4 linked regions of the Caenorhabditis elegans genome follow. The protein of the gene in region 1 purifies or fractionates together with the protein of each later gene. This does not show direct contact. Each region holds a gene or a part of one and is shown in the gene's direction. Other genes may lie near its edges.

Region 1 (3,663 bases):
GTTTTAACGTGTCAGAAAAGTTTCAGATTTTTAAAGCGTTTAACTTTCGAGAAATTAAGGCTACACAACATTTTTTTTCTAGGCTACACAACCTTTTTGCATTTGACTCTCGGCGCATATGTTTCAATTAGTGGCTAAAAGTTGAAAAAAAGTTTAAAAAGAAAAAGATAACTTACCGCTCCAACAGTGATATTAATCGAATGCTTGTGACATTGTTCTTGCTTCGAGCACGGACATTCACTTCCAGTCGAGTTTTTCCTTGCCGGCGTAGAAGCTCCAGAATTTTGCTTCGAGTGTGGATGCTCTCCGTGATGATGATGGTGGTGCCCAATATGAAATAGATCTTTGAAATGAGCAGTCAATCCGTGATGCTTCTTTTCTTTTAATGAGGATCCCGACCCGGACACATCACTGTGATTGGAATGTGTGTCGCCGTCGTTTTCAACAACCGGTGGCAAATGCTTTTTACCAGAATGTTTTCCAAAGTACAACGAATGTCCATGATGTTCCTTATGGTGATGTTCTTCTGGTTTATGGCTTCCAGATGTACCTTCTTCAGATCCTTCCTCAAAGTTTCCAGTTGACCTTGACGCTTTAAAATCTGGAGTGTGCTGAAATCCAGAAAACTCCGAAACCAGCTCAGCTATGACGTGAGGGACTTTCATTTGAGAATGATTCTGAAAATCATATAAATAAAAAAAAAAAAATAAAACATTTAAAAAAATAGAAAAAAAATCGAAGAAGTGTGGAATACCGTTCAAAACCGCTAGCGCATGACTATGTTATATAGAATACCGTCTTATCGTTCTTTGTGTCACCAAATCCCGCCCATTTGGGGTCCTTGCTTCTTTGGTTTCGATGGCGGGAGGAGGGTTTGAGAAGATATATAGTATGGGTACTTTCGTTCATTGAACGTTTCAATCTGACCGGAGTGTTTTGAGTACGTGCTAATTCAAATTATAATTTGGGACTTGTTTTGACTAATTCGTTGATCACTGATATTTGTTTAAGGCAGAGTACATTTTTTCATGTTTTCATTAAATTACCTGAAATTAACCTTACAATTAGGTTGTTAGGCATTTAAGAATCCCAGTAGTTGTTTTTTTTTTGCATAGAAAATATATACATTTTGAATAAAAAAATATTGACAAGTTGAAAGAAAAACGAAGACCCTGAATGAAAATTCTGAATGCAATTCTGTCCTTTAAGATCCCGGTTTTTTTCAACTTTATCATCATCAAAATTTTTCTCCCATCGTTTCAAGAATCTTATCCAAAAAATGAACTGTGAATTTTGTTTTTTGGAGCCTTATTCACTCCCGTTCAGCCATAGTCTCTTCATTTTTCAACCCTTCTAACTGGCTGCGTCTCGCATTTCACCACTCTCTCAGCTATTATCGAGAGCAGCCACGAGGTCGGAATGTGCGTTCTTTGATGAGCAGATAAGTGTATAAAAGTGAGTTCATTTTAACAAACGTGAACTTTATTTCTCATCATGATCAAAAATCTACGCATTTTCCTATTATATTTTCGCAATTTCTAAACAAAGACTTCTTCATTTCTTAATTAATTCAGAATAAAATGGCAAACATAATTCCGAAGATTGCAATTATCGGCGAAGGAGTCATTGGATGTACTTCAGCACTTCAAATATCAAAAGCTATACCAAATGCGAAAATAACTGTGCTCCACGATAAACCATTTAAAAAATCGTGCAGTGCAGGACCAGCAGGATTATTTAGAATCGATTATGAGGAGAATACGTGAGGTTCTTTGATAAATAAATAAAAAAAATTCTGAAAAAATTGGAATAACATAACAAACAGATAACCAAACTTGCTTGATTATCCTATTTTTTATAGTCCTATTTTTTTCAAATTAAAAACTAATTACAAAAAAAATATTAAATCCTAGAAAAGTGTTGCCACGGGCCAAAAATGCTATTAATAGCTTTAGAATAAATAATTTTATTACCAAAATATTTTTTTTAACGTAATATTTTTAGTGAATACGGACGTGCTTCTTTCGCCTGGTTCTCACATCTCTATCGCACTACAAAAGGATCCGAAACCGGCGTGAAATTAGTTTCTGGACATATTCAATCCGACAACTTGGAGTCATTGAAGCAACAACAAAGAGCCTATGGCGATATTGTGTACAACTTTAGATTCTTGGATGATAGAGAACGGCTGGACATTTTTCCCGAACCATCAAAGTGGGCTTCTTAGCGTCACATCTTTTGCTATACTGTGGCTTTCAGGCACTGCATTCACTACACCGCCTACGCATCAGAAGGTAACAAGTACGTGCCTTATTTGAAGAATTTGCTGCTTGAGCAAAAAATCGAGTTCAAGCAACAAGAAGTGACGAGTTTGGACGCAGTAAGTTGGCGACCGAGAAGTCAAAAAACAAGATCACCCCTCCCTTATTTCTGAACCCATACCCATCATAACCTGGAGAGTAATGTCTAACAAATTCATTCTAGGTCGCCGACGCTGGTTACGATGTTATTGTAAACTGCGCAGGCTTGTACGGTGGAAAGTTGGCTGGTGATGACGATACTTGCTACCCCATTAGAGGAGTCATTTTGGAAGTTGATGCACCATGGCACAAGCACTTCAATTATCGAGACTTTACTACTTTCACAATTCCAAAGTGAGTAGAAGCCGATAAATTAATATTATGTGCCAAATCTTTAGAGAGCACAGCGTGGTGGTTGGGTCCACCAAGCAGGACAATCGATGGGATTTGGAGATCACCGACGAGGATAGAAATGATATTTTGAAACGATACATTGCTTTACATCCTGGAATGAGAGTGAGAATTAGTTTTTTTTAAATTTAAGTTGATTGAAAAAGTTGATTTATGATTTAGGAGCCAAAGATTATCAAAGAATGGTCAGCACTTCGCCCGGGACGTAAGCATGTCAGAATTGAAGCGCAGAAGAGGACATCTGTTGGAAACTCAAAAGATTATATGGTAGGTATCACAATTATCTTTTTTTATGTGTTCAAAATGTTGATTTAAGGTTGTGCATCACTATGGTCACGGGAGCAACGGATTCACGTTGGGTTGGGGAACAGCAATTGAAGCAACTAAACTTGTTAAGACTGCACTAGGATTATAAATATTTGTTCAAGGGTTTCAGTAAATTAAGGTTATATTTCAATAGACTCGACGGGTCATAAGAATAATTAAAAAAACAACTAAATTTTTATATGCGTTTCAATTAGTAGATACAACAGCATGCAATCTGATTATGATTTTTGTTTCCATTCAATGATGGAAATATCTAAAAACTTTATGTTGAAAAATTAAACATCGATTTGCAATTCTCCGATTAGAAAAGTCTCAGGAGGTACAATAGACATCACATAGTTAACATTTTTATGCGATATTGCTCCTAGTCGCCTGAATTTTTTTAATTTCTCGTTCATTATTGAACACTCAATTCACCGGGGTGACAACTACTTTACTTTTTCCAAAATACCACATCTCCTTCACTGTTCTTCTGTAATTGGAGGACATTGAGAAATTGATCAAGTGGGACATTGCGTTGAAACAAAATAAAGTTGACATGTATACAGGCGCATAGGTGACAAGTATGATAAGAATCGAACCGAAGTCTATTTCCACGAAAAGTGTGAGAAAATTAAGGACACCG
Region 2 (6,431 bases), on another chromosome or scaffold:
AGTTGGAGAATGTAACATAAAAAGTGCGCAATTGAAGATAAGTTGAAATAGACAGTAAATTAGTGAGTTCGAATCTTACCAACTTGTACCTATTGCAGAAGCATGTAGATTGTTTTCGTTCAATTATCACCACTTCTTGAGTACTTAGGCTGTTTATGCCAAAGTTTTCTGTATATTTCAGTACATTCTCAGTACATAGCTAATCGATAGTTATCCAAATTTAGTATTCTATCAACTGAACTGAAAAATATTTACCAAAACATGCAGAATTAGCTTCAAAAAAGGGGACTAATGTAAAACTTTTAGACATTTTTTTGAAAAATTCCTCATAAATTGGGTTTTAAGGCCATTTTGAGTCTATCGAGGGGAACAATTTCTACTTTTTCAAAAAATAAAACTTAAAAAAGCCGCCAAAGTAGAGAAATGGGGGGGGGGGGGGGGGGAGGTGCATGTCTGAAAGGGAAAATATGGTAATACTTAATAAACAAAGTTTACATGATGCGTCGACAAAAATGTTTCTAGGGATAAAAAAGTCGAATATCTAAAACCAACTCTATGAATAGGTTATGTAAACATTCGACGATCGACGGTGCAGGCCTCTGCAACTTACGCCATCTTGGTTCGTGGCAAAGGTCAAATGTAGGATTGGTAGATTTAGCTAGGCTGTCTCACACGCACTCCCGTTTGTAGTCTCTTTCTCTCTCTTGTATCATCGCCGGCACCATCTAGCAACGGGACCACGTTTATGAGACAAGAGTGTGTGAGTAATGAGTGTTTTGGAGCATACTTTCAAAGATTACACACATTCCTTTGATAAAGTGGATGAAGGAAAGGAACGGATATATTCCGAAAATAAGTAACAGATTTTTAACCAATTAATCTTGTTAGGTTTGAAATATTATATTATTTTCAACTTTTATAACTTTGTCTTTCATTTGTTATCTATCAAAGTGGTAAAAAGAAAAAGGATGGCACAAAGGATATTTGGCAATTGAACAAAAACGGAAACACTAGGAGACATGCATTCGAAATTACGTTCCGAAAGGTCACAAGTTGACGTTTAATGAGAGTTCTAAAACCATAAAAAGAGGACAATCTTCTGATCGCAAAAACGGACTCTTTGCCCAGTTTTAAAATGGTTCCAAATAAGCAATTGAATTGAAAACAAACCAACAACAGTTTTAGATCAAAGTTCATGGGGATGAACTGAGGGGGAAAAGTGCACGGATTGAGTTAATGGACGATCGAGCGAATCTATCGGAAACCGGATTTGTTCGAGATGCTGGTAACTTTTCTATCATTTAAGTGGGGGCTTTTAAATGGATTGCATCGAATTGGGTGGGAAACTTTTGGGTATTAGTCAATAGTTTTTTATTGTAAGTTTTGCTGCAAAATACAACAGTAAAACTTGAAAGTCATTTCTATTTAGAAAAAAAAACAAATCGAAAAAAGTAACAGCTGTACAAATCGATAAGAACACATGCACTGTCTGGGCAAAGGGTGAGGGCGGGAAAACAATGTCCGCAGAGAACGCATTAATTATTCACAAATAGTTTAAAAGAAAAAAAAACGAATTCTTACTAGAAATTCAACACGTTTTTTGTATTGTTTAGAGAAAAACCAAAAGGAAACGGAAACCTCTCATCTGAAGTGGTATAGTGCACTCAAGTCCGCAAAAGTGTACATGCGGACCTGACACCACATTTGACGACACCTATGCTAATTGTTGTTGTTATATTCCATTTCCAGTTTGTTCCATGTTTCACATCATATTTCTATGAACACAGTTATTTCAGATGGATTTTTTCATGAAACTTGCCAAAAGTGACGTCGGCCAGATGGCGATGAACACAGTCCGACAAAACGTGGAGGATAAAATCAAAGAATACGCGGATGCTCAACATAAAGCAGCTGGTTCAACGTCTCAAGCCAGCAATCCACAGGCACAATCGATGGTGAGTTTTGAACATTTTGAGTTTATGAAAAATTGAAAAAAAAACTTGAGCATGCACTTTCTAAAAATAAATTTAAAAAATATTTTTTCTATAGTTTTTTATAAATTTTTGTTTAAAAAACTACCACACAACGATGAGGAAAACGATGTTTTTTTAATGTGTCAAAAATGTGCTCCCAGATTATGGTTTTTTAAATTATTAAAAACCTTTACCTATTTATTTGCACAATTTTCAGTGGCCGGGACCTGTGGATAAAACCTTGAAATTTTCTATCAACTCAAAGCTTTCTACGAACTTTTCACAAGCTACATATGGTGATGGATATGCACTTGTCTACACACCAAACAACTATGTAAGCTGAAATAACATTAAAAATACACGTAGAAACTTTCCAGGTTGTTTATTTCAATAAGAATGCATCTTACATTGACGATCTGGAATATTTGTGGAAAGAATTTGACGAATCCATCACACATCTGAACAATCCTATCAACGTCATTAATGATTTGGTACCGGTTATGCTGAGAGAAAAGGAATTACAATCCGAGTGCTCAGCAGTATATTTTGCGATTTTTTCTGGATTTTCAAATTATGTTAAGGAGGAGAAAAAGAAAGAAGGAGATGGGTAGGTTACTGTCAAATCAAGTTTTATTGAGTTAACAAAAACTGAACCGTTTCAGCTTCTCAATGTCAAAACTAAATAGAAGAGGTGATACTCCCGTTCATGTTGCCGCTCGATTTGCATCTCTTAGTTTACTTCAAATGGTCTGGGACAAATATTTCGATCCATTGACAATGAATCATAATGGTCAGACAATTTTGCAAGTTGCACGTCATCGTCCAGAAATTGTAAAGGTGAATATTTATTAAAATAAAAGATACGAGGTGGAAAAATGTGTCTTGGGGGGATTTTGCTGAAAATTACAAAACAAATGCCTTAATAGACATTAATAGGCGTTATATCAATAAATGAAAACTATAGAAATTGGTTAAGTCTGACGAAAAAAGCTTGCATATGGGTGGGACTCACTGAAAAATTAAAATCCGTACAGATGAAAACTGTGCTCCGGATCATTTTGCTGGATGATTTTTGCAGCTTCAATTTGTATACAAGTTTTTCCGATTCTATATTTTGAAAAAAAAAATGCTTCAATGTAAGAACAAATTTGGAAAACAATATATTTTTGCAGTACATCAACAGTCATGTTACCGGAGAAGTATGCGACAAAATGATCATAACCGCAGAAACTCATCCCAAGCCCGAAACTCCCGATTACCCGCGATCTTTTGAGAAAATTCTAGGTGAATACCAAAAATTACAACATTTTCTTTATCAACATATTCAGAATACTCAATCAAAAATAACTTGCCACATTGCTTATTGTCACCGGCAGATGTTCTCAACAAATCATCATTTTCACTGAGAGATCTTGAATCGTAAGTTGCCACATTGATTGTATCTATCTTATTAGTACCGTTTTTCAGAGTGCTGAGAATTCTCTACGTGCAAGACTCGGACTTTTTGGGGAGACTTTTGAACTCGAAGAATGTGTTTCACACATTTGACAATTTCGTGAAAGATGTTTGTTGAAATGACTATATTGTTTTTATTAATCAAATTTCCAGCACCAAAAGTTGATGCTCAGTTTTGCCAAAGCTGAAATGATAAACGCTCAAGATTTGAACGGACTCACACCAATGCATTATATAGGTAAACTGAACTACATTTAAATGGCAACTCGTAACTTTTTCAGCAAAAAATGGAAACCTAAGCACAATCATACTTCTTTGGTCGCACGGCGCGAATGTTAATATGCTTGATAACAAAGGAATGTCTCCAATGGATTATGCTCTTGAAAGAGATGACGTCGATATTGTAAAAGCATTTCTGGCGTTTGATGGACATTCCACCGACCGAATTTTGAAAGCTGCACTAAATTCCAGACGTAAATGTGCAGAAGTTCTGCAAAAACACTTCAAAGCACTTGAAGAAGGAAAAGAGAAAAATATTAAATACAATCTGGGTAACTTTGATATGTTTCTATTCGCTTTATAACATTCTGCGTCTTTCAGAAAACCCTTCTCATCGTCGTTGCCAAAACTTCCCGCCATTGACCAAGAAAGATTCAGTCATTTTGTCTATTGACGGAGGTGGTATGAAAGGAATTCTGGCTCTTCAGCTTTTGAAGGAGATCGAAAAGGTTGTTGGAAATAAATTCTTGCGCTGGTTCAATCATATCGGTGGAACATCAACTGGATCAATGATCACTCTTGGATTGGTCAAGTACGGAAATATTGACCATGTCATCAGACAATATTTCAGAATGAAAGTAGGAAAATGAACATTGAGAAAAGCGATTATGATATGGAAGATCAGGTGCTAGTTGCAATATCTTATTTTTTCAGGATGATATTTTCATTGGATCCAGACCATACTCTGGCGAAGGTCTGGAAAATGCTCTTCTAAATGAATTTGGAAGAGATACGCTCCAGCAACTCGGTGAGAAGAATGGTATTCGCATCAGTATCCCGGTTGCTCGAGTCGATATCAGCCCTCCGCTACTCTACATGTTCCGCAGTTATAACATCAGAGACCCGTCATTTGATCAAGCTGGCATGAAGCCTGTCTGGGCAGCTGCAAAAGTTGTTAGGGCTTCTTCGTGAGTCACAGCTGGACAGAAATGCACTTTTTGATTCGTATTTTTCAGAGCGGCGCCATCATTCTTCCCACCTGTTGATGGAAAGTTTATGGACGGAGGACTAATCGCTAATAATCCAGCTGTTGACATTCTTACTGATTGTCAACGCCTGGAATATGAGAGAAACGAGCGTAATGTGTCAAAGATCATGGTTTCAATTGGAACTGGGTCGATGCAAAAGAAAATTGAGAATGTTGACTTGATGAAGCCAACAACAATGGGTGGAATTGTGAACACGTTCAACCAGATTCTTCACTTAAAAGACGTCTTTATTGAGCAGGTGAGTTGCAAGCAATTCTTTTCAGATAAAAATGGCCAATAAAGTTTGAAGTTTTGCGCAGATCAATAAGTCTGTCAATGTAATTCAATCAAAGTTGTCAAAAAGTTTGTGTGCTCACTATTAGGCAACTCAATAGCAGAAAAGCCCAACTACGTTAATTTTAATCACCGGTGCCTTTCATAATTAGCAACGAACGTGAATGTTTCTTGAAAACATCTCAATTTATTCTCATATTGAAAACGCATCCTGAAAAGAGTTTTGACTTATTAGTTTGAACCAAAAATGGTTGTTTCAAATTCTAGTTTGAAGTGTGATTTCGGTGCTAAAATAGTTACATGGACTAATTTGACAAGTTTTCTTCGTAAATCTAAAGCTTCGTTCAAAACATGAGTGTATATGACTTACACTCGATAAACCGGAACTGTTATTTCTTAATTTTTTGTTAATTTTGTTTTCTATTTCCAATATTTTTTCTTTCTAGAATGGATTAACAACCTTTTCGGGGAAAACATCTAATTATATTGTCACCTTTCATTTTTCCACACTTTCAGCTCACAGCAGCTGATGGAGTAACCGTCGAACGGGCTCGTTGGATGGCTGAAGCCATGGGAATGGCTTTCTTCCGTTTCACTCCAAACCTTGAATTCCCAGTTGCTATTGACGAGAAGGATGATAGTGCGTTGCTGGATGCAATGCTCGCTGTCAAGGTAACCTAATGGATGACAATTTGATTCATTATGTATTGACTTTTTGCAGTATGAAGCTGTCGCAATGCGAAATGAGATGTACATGCTTTCTTCGATTCTCAAATAATTTGAGCCCTCTCGCAGATATTCAATAATCTATTAGTTTTGCTTTTCTCATATGTGAGAATACACATAAGTTCATAATTTTGTATACATTCTAAGTCTCAGTTGTGAAAAATCATTCCGTCATAATACATAGAAGTCTATTTGAACCGAGTAAATATTTTTTCAAGCTTTGTCGTATTTCCATTTTTGTTTATCTTCTCTGTCTTTTACTAGAGGTAAAAATCCATCAAGAAGTATTTTCGTTCAGTGCCACTCAGCTTTTTTTTATAATAATGTTTTTCTCTCAACCAAAGAATCAGTGAAGAGAATTTGCTCCTTTGATCTTATACAAAGAAAAAATAGCATCTGTCATATACATACGTATCTAGTCTGCACTTTTTTTCGTTCAATAAAACCAACTTTGCCGTTTTCCTTATTGTTGCCCAGACTACCAAGTACATGTGCGCAGCAGCGGCAGCCACACTTTTCCGATTAGTAGGTTTAATTTGATCAGTCTGATTTTTTGAATCAGAATGATAAAACGAAATTACTTTATCAGAATATCAATAAAGAATGTGTAAACTTCCGTTTTACAACTTACTATCACACGTATCATAGCTCCACAGCCACTCCACTTGTGACTTTCGGACGAATAATGTTTTCATTTTTCAAACATTTGAAGTTGTATTCTTTTGGTCTCTGATTT
Region 3 (4,024 bases), on another chromosome or scaffold:
TGAAAATTTATCGCTGTTTTTTTGGAAATATCGGAAGACGATGAAATAAAAGAGCAATTGACAGATGGTCGCTGCTGCCGGGCTCCCCAAGTTATCGAGATTTATCTAAATTTTTTGCAGAATTTTTTTAGGAAAGTGATGGTGGAGGGGAGAGTTTTTAGAAATTACATGAAAGTTGCCGAAGATTATAAATTCGTACACTTGTATACAGGCAATTTGAATTTCCCGCTAAAAATGTTCTCAAAAATATGAACTTCAGTCAAAAAAATTGCTGAAAATAGGAGCGTGTTTCAGCGCGCAATACGCAATTCAGGTGCACCTAAAACTGTTTTTCAAAATTGGAGAAAAACTTAGAAATACATTTAAAAAATTACAGTCAACACAATATTCTGGCATTTCGAAAAAAAAAGCTGCCAAATTTTCCAAATTCACAGGCAGGCAGGCAGGCGTGTTAACGCTTACATGGAAGCCCTACAAAAACAATGAATTTTCTTTGCGACTATAGTATACTGTAATTAATTAAATGCTCTTCTCTTAAAAAAACGAACTATAAGTAAGCTAAACTCTAATTGCTTTTAGTTATAAAACACTCCTTATTTCTCAATTTATGACTGAGACTCTCTCCTTCTTCTCCAATTTGAGGTACAAGACAAAATTGATGATGGCTCATAAAGTGTATGTATACTACTTCGATATGCTCCACCGATCTCCTCCTCATTTCATGATTAGTGTCTGTGTGTCTGTGTCCTTGGACACCATTTAGAGCAGCAGTAGGAGCAGCAGATGATGATAGATGACTACGCGGGAAACAACAGGCGTCTTAACTCTCAAGTACTGTGATTTGCATAAAAGTTCGCCGGGCAGCAGCAATGAATTATGTGTTGTGCGGGGGCAGAGGGTTTATGAAATTTATAAAACACATATGCTACATGTTGAGGGGGTTTTGCCACGTGGCAGGGCGGGAAACCAAGAAATTTGAACTTCTTCGACAAAAAATCTCCTCTTGAATCAAACCTGTTTTTTAATGCGAAAAAAAAACGAAAAAAAACCAGTCTTATTACAGGAACACGAAATTCTGAGAATGCGTATTGCACAAAATATCTCGTAGCGAAAACTACAGTAATTTCTTTAAATGACTACTGTAGAGCTTGTGTCGAATTACGGGCTCGATTTTTGAATAGTGACTTTAGAATTGTTTTCTCTTTTTTTTTGATTGATTTTATTATTTCATCTACATATAAATAAATTCTATTAATTCATTTCGAAAATGGAGACCTTAAATCGAAACTACAGTAGTCTTTAAATAATTACTGTAGTTTTTGCTGCGAGATATTTTGCGCGTCAAATGTTGCGCAATAATACGCATTCTCAGAATTTTGTGTTCCCGTAATAAGTATTTGAGTAAAATTAAATGAACATAAAATTTAAGAGCATGACATTTCATGAAAAAGGGTTTTTTTCACGAAAACTAATGGGGAAAACATTTTCAGAGTGAAACAAGCATAATTGATTGACTCCGAGCTCGGATCCGAGGTTATTGCATTTGCATTTCACACTTTTTCGATGGAAAATATTTTTTTTTCGAATATTGATGCAGATTTCCAGATTTTCGCTGAAAATTCATTTTCCATTTCGGTTTCAGGTCACTTTTTGCACGCGGTTCTTGAATTTTAACTCATTTTTCCACGAGAATTTCATTTTTTAAACAATAATCATTGATTTCTTGAACTTTTGCCGCGCGGCCAGCATCGCTTCGTATCGTGTAATTCCCCTCAAAAATCACGACAAACAAATGTTCAGTGTGGGTTCGCAACGGAGCGCACATGCTGACACCTCCCTTTTTCGTCTTTTTCCATCGGCGCCGCAGCATTTATCGACCCGTTTTTGTGCAGTTTCTTGTTTTTAATGCATTTTTTGTTTCAAAATTTTGAAAATAATTATTTTAAAACAATATAGTTGTCTTTGCAGCATGGCTTCGTGTAATCTGACAGCGTCAAACGTTGCGATCGGCGCCTGCGTCGAAATCGAGACGACGAATGGCTTGAGCGCCCGGGGAGTGGTAATTTCGTTCGACACGACTCGCAAGGTAAGAGAATTATCGATTTATTGAATTATTTATTAACCAAAAGCCAAAGTTTCAGGTTTTGGTTCTCGACACCAAGGAAATGGCGATTAACAAGCCAATGATTCGCATTTTCAACTCGGAGCACTTGAAAAATGTGAGTTTTTTCTGGCAAAAATCGGTACTTTGATATTAATAATTAATATTAATTTCAGATAAAAGTGTTAAGTGAAGCTCTCGAGGAAAGCGAGAAATTCGCGCGCGCCAAAACCGAGCAATTCGCCCAGAACAATCCGGTAAACGGTACACGGACCACCGAACGGCTCGACAAAACTCTCGGCGAGCTCACACCGAATCTAATGAAATCACCAGCAATATCGATTCGTGGACAACAAGCCTATCTGCAATTGAAGCGCACAATTCCGGATACATGTTGGTGTGGCGAGGATATCCGTGTGCTCGGGCTCGTGTTGGTTCACAAGCCCTACGAGGTGTCCGACGTGACAAAAGATGCAAAAGCGACAGGATTCGATGAATCGCGTGCCGAAAGTGCCGTACTTCAAGTTCAGAAAATTCTCTCAAAACCAATGACCGAGTATACGGCACGTGCTCCGCTTGATTTCACTATTGGAGCTATTGTGGCCAACTAGTTATCGATTTTTTCCCATTTTTGTATATTTTTTGTCCTAAGGCTGATGGGTTTAAAGAAAAGAGTGGGGAAAATCAAGAAAATCTCTATTTAAACCCATAAAAAGTAACATTTCGAGAATTTAAACTCGAAAATTAATTAATTCTGTGAAAATCGACAAAATTCCGTTTTGAATCGATTTTATTCAGGATTTTTTTAAAATTTAATCTTCAAACTTGAATTAACTGAATTTGAAGCCGATTTAAAAAAAAATCTCGAATTCTTCTATTGAAAATTTCAACGATTTTTAATAATTAAAATTCAAAAAAAAAATCTGATTAAAAAAAAACTTCGTGAAAATCTATTTAATTCTGAAAAATTCGATATTTTTCTTCATTTTTTCTGTGATTCCCGATAATTTCCAATCGTCTTCGAGAAAATGTAATTTTAATCGATTTAATCGACTTAAAAAATTTTCAAAACAAGAAAAAAATCAAGAAAACGTCGTTTTTCAACAAATTAGGTCGAAAATGTTGTATTTTCTCCGTTTTTAATTCAAAAAAAAAATCGATTTTCTTGCTATTTCCCCCTAAAAATCGATTTTTCGAATAAAAATTCATCAGCCGCGGGTCTCGTTTTTCAGGTATCTCTGTCCCTTTCAATATATATATATATATTTTCTCTTCCAAATCAACCAATTCTTCATTGCATTTGAACCTTTTCTCAGCATTTTTCTCCTTTTTTTTTTTTAGTTTTTTTAAATTTGAAATTGCCCCCCGTCCTCAATTATTTATTAAATTCCGCCCTAAAATATAATATATATTTAATTTTTTTCGTAGTTTTTTCTGTTTTTTCTGTGAAAGAATGGGTTAAATTACCATTTTATATCTTTTTTAAATCATTATTTTCTAAAATTGCTCGTTAAAAATTCTGAAATGGCAGTTTGAAAGCATTAAAAATCGATTTTTAAGCTAATTTTCGATTTCTGTGAATTTTTATTTCAAAAAAATCTGAATTTACGAATTTTTGAGCTATTTTTCACATTTTTGCATTCGAAAAAACACGAAAAATTGCCCAAATATTACAGGAATTCCAAAAAAAAAATTAAATAAAGAAATACCGGTTATTTGCTAAATTTAAATTTATTTTTAAAAATAAAAATTGATTTTTTTAAAGAAAAACTGGTTTAGAGAATCTGGTTTAGAGAGCTTTTTCAATAAAAAAATTATTATAAATTTTTTCAACAAAAAAAATTAATTTTAAAGCCGATTTGTTTGAAATTTCAATTTAAAAAAGTGATTTTTAAGCTATTTTTAACATTTTTGCAATCAAAA
Region 4 (7,676 bases), on another chromosome or scaffold:
AAAGTGACATGTAAGCTCATTTTTGTGTGTAACTTTTAAAAAATCTCTCTGAGATCCAAGCTTATTAATAGTAAAACAAAATTAAAGTGAATTCTTAATTTCTAATCAGAAACAGTAAAACAGAAACAATGAAATTTTTCTTGATTTCCTTTAACTCAAATAATAAAAATTTTTCTGTTTCACATGTTCTTTAAAACTCATTCAATTTAATTGTTTAACATTACATGCTTAACATTACGCCCAAGAATAATAATAATTTTGCAGACGTGAATGCAGTTCGTGGAGCGATGAGCACAGTATGGAGGAGAAATGTCCGGTTGGTTCATTTTTTTCTGAGCATCAGACAATTTATATCAATTTTAGATGACCGGATGCCATTTCCAAACCAAAGATTCCACTTTTTGTTGCTGCCAGTTTGATGAGTGTAACGAGTGGAAGGGAGAGTAAGTTACTTTTTTTTGTGAAACTTTTTTGAAATAGGAAATACGAAAATTTTAGGTACGAAATACTTACAAGAATTTTTAAATAGATTCCAAAGAAAAAAAGAAAAAAATATATAAAGATTCATTACACATTTTTAGAAAAAAAGTTGAATCGAAAAATCTTAAAGCAGACTTCATCTATATATTGGCTATTTTTAAAACAATTTTTTTCAGCGGAACCGAGTTCAAAGCCGGAGAAACTAGCTCAAAATCGAAAGCTGTTCCAAGTGCTCCAAAACTCGGTGACGTCATCATGCCAACTGCAGCAACCCGTAAGAATGTTCGTGTGCATTGAAATTGCTTTATAGGATGAGATCAATTTTCTAATGAAATTTGAAAATCAAGTAAAACTTGTGAAACAGTAATTTTTTCAAGTGACTAAAACAATTGCTTGCTGATTTGAACCAAAATGCTGAACTATTATGGTTCAGTTGAAATTTTAGTTTTCAAATTATTTAAATAACACTAAAATTACAGCAAAATTTAAACTTTCAGAAAAGTGAAGACATCGTTCAAATTCCAACTACTGTCGCTCCAACCAGGAAGAGCAGTTTTGTCGAGCTTCCTTGATTTCTTAATAAAAAATTTATTATTTTTCTAATGGTTTAAAATTTTCCCTAACTGATTAGTTCATTTTGCATGAAATAAATGTTCAAAATAAAAAAAAAGCCTTTTAACAAAGTTTTCAAAAAATAATAAAATTTACAGAAGCATCAAAACGGTTCGTTCCAACTCGTACTTCTTCTATAATTGAAATCTCATTAAATTGTGCAAGTTTTTTTTTTATGAAACGACAGTAAAAAGCATACCATGAGAGTGTTATTACATTAATTTTTCCCACGTAATTAAATTTAAACACTGAAACGGTAAAATTTTTTGAACCTGCTAATAATATGTTAAAGTTCCAATTTCTTTATTGTTTTCAGATCACTATAGGTGACAACATGTAGCTCACTCACGCTCATACCACGAACTTTATCATACCATGATTTGTCCATTGCCCCCGTCATTATCTATATATGTCCTGCATAGTTAGCAGCCTGAAACCAATAATTTATGTGTTTTCCCTTCTTTTTTCCATAATTTCTTATCAGTTTCAATTATTTTTTGATCAGAATATTCCAACTGATTAGTCTTTATAAAAACGTGGTCAGTGTCTTCAAATATTGTTCTTATCATTTATTCATTAGTAGTCTTGGAAAGTGTCCGGTTTTAACGGAATACACTAGACTAGGCTATCATGATTTTGAATATATCCGTTTCTTTGCTAATATTTCTGGCGTTTTATGGATTTTCAAGCGATGCAAGTGAGTAGTAGAAGTGCCTGGAAGTGTTTAGAAAAGTTCTAAAAAAATATTACTGTTTCTCACTAGGGAGTGCTTTCACTATACGGTGCGATCGAGTAAAAGTAAACGTGTTATGCGATAGCTGGCATCTTAGGCTTTCAGAATCTGTAATTTGTTTCGGCGGAAGACCTCTGTGAGTCTGGAAATTTTCATCTGAAAATGTAGTACTGAAATCAGTTCATTTCCTATGGTTAACAGTGGATTTTGTCTCTGGCGCCAACAGAAGTCTCACCACAATGGTGGAAGGGCGAAATCATCGCTTCGGTGGTCGAGTGGTGAACGCGTTCGCCTCTTGAGCAGAAGTTTGTCGGTTCGGTTCCCACACATGGTTTAAATTTTGGGTTCTTTTATACAAAATTTTTAGAACGGGAAACAAATGTTTAAAACAGTTTTTTGAGGTTTTTACATTACTTTTTTGCTTTTTGATTGAACCACAATTACCCTGGAAACTTTTCAGAAATTTTTATTTTTTTCGAAAATTGCCACTTTTTTCTCCCATGAGAAAATTGGTTCCAAAAATTTTGTTTGAAATTTTTTCAAAAATGTATGAAATATTGTAGAGTGTCACGAATAACTTATTTTTCATTGTTTTCAATGACCGAATCACTGATTCTGATGCCGTATCAAGACGTTTTACCAAATCGATATTGGCAAAACATCTTGTTTTTGAGGCTCCATATCTCTGCAGAAAAAATCGCACTAAAAAGTGATCAACTAGAAACTTGTTAAACACAATGTGATCTAAAACTTTTCAGTTGAACACTTTTTTGTAAAAAATTTGGTTCCCAAGATATAGACCTTTAACTATTTAGAATATTCAAAAATAATGACGCTCAAATCAATTGGTTCCAACCTGGCAACCAAATTTTTTACAAAAAAGTGTTCAACTGAAAAGTTTTAGATCACATTGTGTTTAACAAGTTTCTAGTTGATCACTTTTAGTGCGATTTTTTTCTGCAGAGATATGGAGCCTCAAAAACAAGATGTTTTGCCAATATCGATTTGGTAAAACGTCTTGATACGGCATCAGAATCAGTGATTCGGTCATTGAAAACAATGAAAAATAAGTTATTCGTGACACTCTACAATATTTCATACATTTTTGAAAAAATTTCAAACAAAATTTTTGGAACCAATTTTCTCATGGGAGAAAAAAGTGGCAATTTTCGAAAAAAATAAAAATTTCTGAAAAGTTTCCAGGGTAATTGTGGTTCAATCAAAAAGCAAAAAAGTAATGTAAAAACCTCAAAAAACTGTTTTAAACATTTGTTTCCCGTTCTAAAAATTTTGTATAAAAAAGGCCAAAATTTAAACCATGTGTGGGAACCGAACCCACAAACTTCTGCTCAAGAGGCGAACGCGTTCACCACTCGACCACCGAAGCGATGATTTCGCCCTTCCACCATTGTGGTGAGACTTCTGTTGGCGCCAGAGACAAAATCCACTGTTAACCATAGGAAATGAACTGATTTCAGTACTACATTTTCAGATGAAAATTTCCAGACTCACAGAGGTCTTCCGCCGAAACAAATTACAGATTCTGAAAGCCTAAGATGCCAGCTATCGCATAACACGTTTACTTTTACTCGATCGCACCGTATAGTGAAAGCACTCCCTAGTCAGTTATGATATGACAAATTGTCATATCATGACTGAGAAACAGTAATACTGGAACTGAATTCAATGGAACTGAATTCTCAATAATCATTTAATAACTTCTATTTAAAAAAATTTAAAAATTCCCATTGAAAAATATTGCCGTTTCCGAGGTATAATATTTGAGTTAGTATTTGTATTACTTAATTCGTGCAATTCGAACAAATCTTTTTTTAAACAAAATGTGGAAATTGTGGAAAGTTGATACAGAAGTTTTACAAATTAAAAATACAAATTAAAACAAATATCGAGCATGAAAAATGCATTTGAAGCTACAACTTTTTAATATTTATTTTCACAAAAAAAACTCTGTTCCAACATGATCTGTTAAAATCCCACACTTTTATGATTCTGTTGCGAACAAGAAAATGTATTAGATATAACTGTCCTCAAATGCGTTTATAAAATTTCAATAAATGCGAACCAAATGTGACTAAAACGGACAAATCTGGACTTTTGCACTCAGAAATCGATTAAATTAAGACCCTAATTCTTAGTTCGGATTCGTCAGTTTTGCTACATCTAAATTGGATTCAACGATAACAATATTTTTTGAAGACTTCTAAAGATTATGTGAAACGGTATTTAAAAAAAAATTTGTCATTTCAAAAATCATTGTAGACATCAATCTTAACATAATTGCCAACATGAAAAGTTTCTACTGCTCCGAGGTAAAAAAAAGTAAAAAAAGAAAAAATTCATAACTTTTTGTTGTTATCCCAATAAAAAATTACTGTTTCTGTGTTATAATATGAGTTTTGGATTGGTATTGAATTGATAATAGTATCTTTTTTCAATATTTGAGCAATGATTTCATTACGCTTATACACATATGTATCAGATTTTTTCAAATTGTCAAACATTTGAATTATCAGAGTTTACAATTAACAAACCTTAATTAATAGATAACAGATAACAGTTATAATTTTTTTTAGGAAAATAACTCAGTTTCAATCTGCTAAATGCAAAATTTAATATTTTTCTAATCGTAACTATTTTTCTTCAAAATTAATTTTCGTATCCTTTAATCTAAATGGGCAGCAGACTGTAAAAAAATTATTTTAGAAACTTTTTTAGAAAAAATGCTTTAAAAAAAGCTTTTTCATAATTGCATATGCAAGACTAATAGAAGAAATACGGTAATTAATGTATTGTATTCATTGCTTGCAATGTGCAGGCAAAACATGGATAAAACAGTTTTAAAAAATTCCGTTTCAACAAATTTATTTATGAAATGTAAAATTTGAAATATGTATTTCGTATGGTAAAAATTTTCATAACCACAATTTACAGAACTGGAAATAGCTTTAGACATTTTCTAAACACGTAGTCCTGCACAATTTCCAAAACCATTCCAACTAACTAAACACAACTGAAGCCAATTTCCAGAGTCCCTTCCTTGCTCCGAAGTGAAGAAAGAGTATGGAATAGTTTGTCGTTGCAATGCCACGTATTGTGATACAATTGAACCACTTGGAACTGTTACTTCTGGGAAAGCAGTTGTCTATACAACATCAAGAAATGGAAAAAGAATGAACAGAAGTGAATTGAAGCATACAACTTCTTCTACAGGTACGTTAATTGTATAGGAAGTTCCATGAAGGCACAGAATTCTTGCCTGCATTCCTGTCTGCCTGCCTCCAGAATACACCGGAAGCTTATCAGTAACTTCTGGTTCGAAACTGATGCAAAATAGGCGGTAGGCAGGCTCTTAGATAGAGAGGCAGGCACCGCTCAACTAACACAAAAACCTTTATAATATTAGAATTTAGAGAATGATATTTTTTTATTTTGAAGTTGGCAAAAAATTATTCTACTGTTTCACAATTATTTTGTAACAATTGTTGATATGATACATCGTTTTTGTAGCCAAAACAAAAGTATATGTGAACACAACTCAAAGTTTTCAACCGGTAATGGGATTTGGAGCTGCATTCACTGATGCTGCTGGAATTAATATGAAGATGCTGCCACAGACAATGCAAGATCAAATTATTCAGCAATACTTTTCCGATGATGGTAAGTTATTTTCAAAAGATTAAGCTTGAAAAATAAATAATTTAGGTCTCGGGTATGTTTTTGGACGAGTTCCAATGGCTTCAACTGACTTTTCAACTCACGAGTACAGTTATGACGACGTTAAATTTGATTTTGATCTCAAAAATTTCAATTTAACAGTGGAAGATCTCCAGTATAAAATTCCATTTATCAAGAAGGCAATGACAGCTTCTGGAGGGAAATTAAAGCTATTTGCAACTCCATGGAGCTCCCCAGGATGGATGAAAACTTCTGGAAGAATGGTTGGTGCCGGAGAGCTATTGGGAGATCAGAATGGAAAATACTATCAGACATGGGCACAGTACTTTGTAAAGTAAGTTCTTATTTTCAAAGAAATAAAAAATAAAATTATAAAATGAAAGATTCTTCGAAGCCTATCACGCTCAAGGTATTGACTTTTGGTCTTTGACACCACAAAACGAGCCAACAACTGGAATTGATCCACTTTGGAAATGGCAAACACTCTTTTTCGATGCATCAATGGAACGAAATTTTATAAAGAAACTTTTGGGACCAGCACTTGCTTCATCACCAGTGACTAAGAATTTGAAGATTATGATTAATGATGATCAGAGAATTAATTTGCCACACTGGCCAAATGTAGTAAGTTATTGGTGGGATAAAACATTGAGTAATAGGTAGAAATGATTGAATGACTAAAAATTAATTAGATACTGTTTCACATTCAAAATAAATATATTAAAATTATAAACAAAACAGTAATCCAATACGAGAAACAAAACCTCTTTTATTTATTGAAAATTTTCAAAACTTTTATAGCTCTTTCCTTTGTTTATTTTTTTGTTTTCTATTAGGTACTTACCGTTTTTTAACACTATTAAGACTCCATTGTAATTAAGTATTTTCGAATTTTTTTCGAATCAAGACACTAGAACGGTTATTTTAATTTTAAAACTCGCTTTCACCTACAATTATTACTGAATTGACCGAATAGTTCAACAGTTGTGTAAATTGTTTTAGAAAAAATTAAAATCGAACGACAAAATGTGCAAAACTGATAAGAAACGTAATGCTAAAATGGATTTGTTGAAACATTGAAACATATCAGATATTCAAAAATTGTACTGTTTCACATTCAAAATAAATATATATATAGAAATTATAAACAAAACAGTCGAAACAAAAGTACTGTTTTTGGGAATCAAAATTGAGGTATTTTTGAGCTTTCCGTAGTCTTTGGTAAATTATGAAACAAAGTGTAATGAAGTATTTATTGACTAATTGTTAGAATTTGAAGATTATGATGAATGATAATCAGGAAATTATTTTGCCAAATTGGCCAAATGTGGTGAGTTGTCGTTTTGTTGAAACAGTTATGCAACAGTAGGGAAAAACATAAAATAATCAAACTTTGTGCTGTTTTACATTCAAAATAAATATAAGAAAATTATTATTGCCATCAATCTTTCTTTGGCCTTGGGAAGAGTTATCCGCAGAATTTACCTATTTGAATTTTTAACCCTTGATTAAAAATCATATCCCATTCCGACGTCCCCACTCTTTTAAAATAAAATTTTAGATTTTAACGGATCCAACTGCTGCTCAATACGTCCACGGAATTGCAATTCATTGGTATGAAGACTTCATTGACCCAGCAACCGTACTCACTGAAACTCACGAGAAGTTCCCAGACTATTTCCTTTTGGCAACTGAAGCATGTGCTGGATACTTCCCAGCAGATGGACCAAAATTGGGATCATGGTCTAGAGCTGAACAATATGCAAATGATTTGATTAAAGATATGGGAAATTGGGTTGGAGGATGGGTTGATTGGAATTATATTCTTGATTTACAAGGTTGGTTTGTGAAGTGTAGCAACACTTGCGATTTTTTAATTTAAAAACATCAAAAACCATAGTAAGAAACAGATTTAGAATTTTAAATCTTTGATATAACTAGGTTGAAACAGTTTTCTAATATTTATTTTCCAGGAGGACCAAATCTTGCCAAAAACTTTGTCGATTCAACAATAATCGTGAATGCAACTGCTCAAGAGTACTACAAACAACCAATTTGGCATGTAATGGCTCAATTCAGTAAATTTGTGAAACCGGGAGCTATTCGTGTTGGAATAAACATTATTGAGAAATCAGTTGATGTTGAGGGTCTTTCA

The links.
Region 2: the proteins of ddo-2 (region 1) and C45B2.6 fractionate together in Caenorhabditis elegans (co-fractionation; one large-scale study listed by BioGRID). This does not show direct contact.
Region 3: the proteins of ddo-2 (region 1) and M142.5 fractionate together in Caenorhabditis elegans (co-fractionation; one large-scale study listed by BioGRID). This does not show direct contact.
Region 4: the proteins of ddo-2 (region 1) and gba-4 fractionate together in Caenorhabditis elegans (co-fractionation; one large-scale study listed by BioGRID). This does not show direct contact.

What each region holds. Positions count from the first base shown.
Region 1 is NC_003283.11:7,432,944-7,436,606, reverse strand, and holds ddo-2 (D-aspartate oxidase 2), read left to right. Parts: upstream 1-1,574; 5' UTR 1,575-1,580; coding exon 1,581-1,762; exon of another isoform or gene 1,763-1,767; intron 1,768-2,004; coding exon 2,005-2,214; intron 2,215-2,259; coding exon 2,260-2,380; intron 2,381-2,484; coding exon 2,485-2,654; intron 2,655-2,698; coding exon 2,699-2,816; intron 2,817-2,873; coding exon 2,874-2,978; intron 2,979-3,027; coding exon 3,028-3,126; 3' UTR 3,127-3,140; downstream 3,141-3,663. Other genes in the region: F25E5.8 (S39A8 protein), read right to left, coding at 177-665. UniProt on the Caenorhabditis elegans protein: Selectively catalyzes the oxidative deamination of acidic amino acids. May play a role in the egg-laying events and early development of the worm, in addition to quality control of the germ cells.
Region 2 is NC_003284.9:6,051,262-6,057,692, forward strand, and holds C45B2.6 (phospholipase A2), read left to right. Parts: upstream 1-1,796; 5' UTR 1,797-1,838; coding exon 1,839-1,955; intron 1,956-2,190; coding exon 2,191-2,307; intron 2,308-2,350; coding exon 2,351-2,580; intron 2,581-2,635; coding exon 2,636-2,810; intron 2,811-3,145; coding exon 3,146-3,257; intron 3,258-3,301; coding exon 3,302-3,392; intron 3,393-3,440; coding exon 3,441-3,537; intron 3,538-3,581; coding exon 3,582-3,666; intron 3,667-3,709; coding exon 3,710-3,979; intron 3,980-4,028; coding exon 4,029-4,285; intron 4,286-4,361; coding exon 4,362-4,615; intron 4,616-4,663; coding exon 4,664-4,934; intron 4,935-5,485; coding exon 5,486-5,641; intron 5,642-5,690; coding exon 5,691-5,747; 3' UTR 5,748-5,912; downstream 5,913-6,431.
Region 3 is NC_003281.10:10,929,240-10,933,263, forward strand, and holds M142.5 (AD domain-containing protein), read left to right. Parts: upstream 1-1,961; 5' UTR 1,962-1,969; coding exon 1,970-2,086; intron 2,087-2,135; coding exon 2,136-2,219; intron 2,220-2,277; coding exon 2,278-2,712; 3' UTR 2,713-3,522; downstream 3,523-4,024.
Region 4 is NC_003282.8:5,344,885-5,352,560, reverse strand, and holds the start of gba-4 (Putative glucosylceramidase 4), read left to right. Parts: upstream 1-1,663; 5' UTR 1,664-1,722; coding exon 1,723-1,789; intron 1,790-3,139; exon of another isoform or gene 3,140-3,212; intron 3,213-3,631; exon of another isoform or gene 3,632-3,652; intron 3,653-3,839; exon of another isoform or gene 3,840-3,860; intron 3,861-3,999; exon of another isoform or gene 4,000-4,020; intron 4,021-4,265; exon of another isoform or gene 4,266-4,286; intron 4,287-4,740; exon of another isoform or gene 4,741-4,761; intron 4,762-4,873; coding exon 4,874-5,056; intron 5,057-5,344; exon of another isoform or gene 5,345-5,353; coding exon 5,354-5,503; intron 5,504-5,548; coding exon 5,549-5,855; intron 5,856-5,904; coding exon 5,905-6,145; intron 6,146-6,262; exon of another isoform or gene 6,263-6,286; intron 6,287-6,677; exon of another isoform or gene 6,678-6,698; intron 6,699-6,962; exon of another isoform or gene 6,963-6,987; intron 6,988-7,082; coding exon 7,083-7,359; intron 7,360-7,406; exon of another isoform or gene 7,407-7,427; intron 7,428-7,494; coding exon 7,495-7,676. Other genes in the region: Y4C6B.7 (Activin_recp domain-containing protein), read left to right, coding at 265-316, 364-443, 657-762, 978-1,052. UniProt on the Caenorhabditis elegans protein: Glucosylceramidase that catalyzes the hydrolysis of glucosylceramides into free ceramides and glucose. C.elegans contains specific sphingoid bases, which are unique or different in structure compared to the sphingoid bases found in other animals.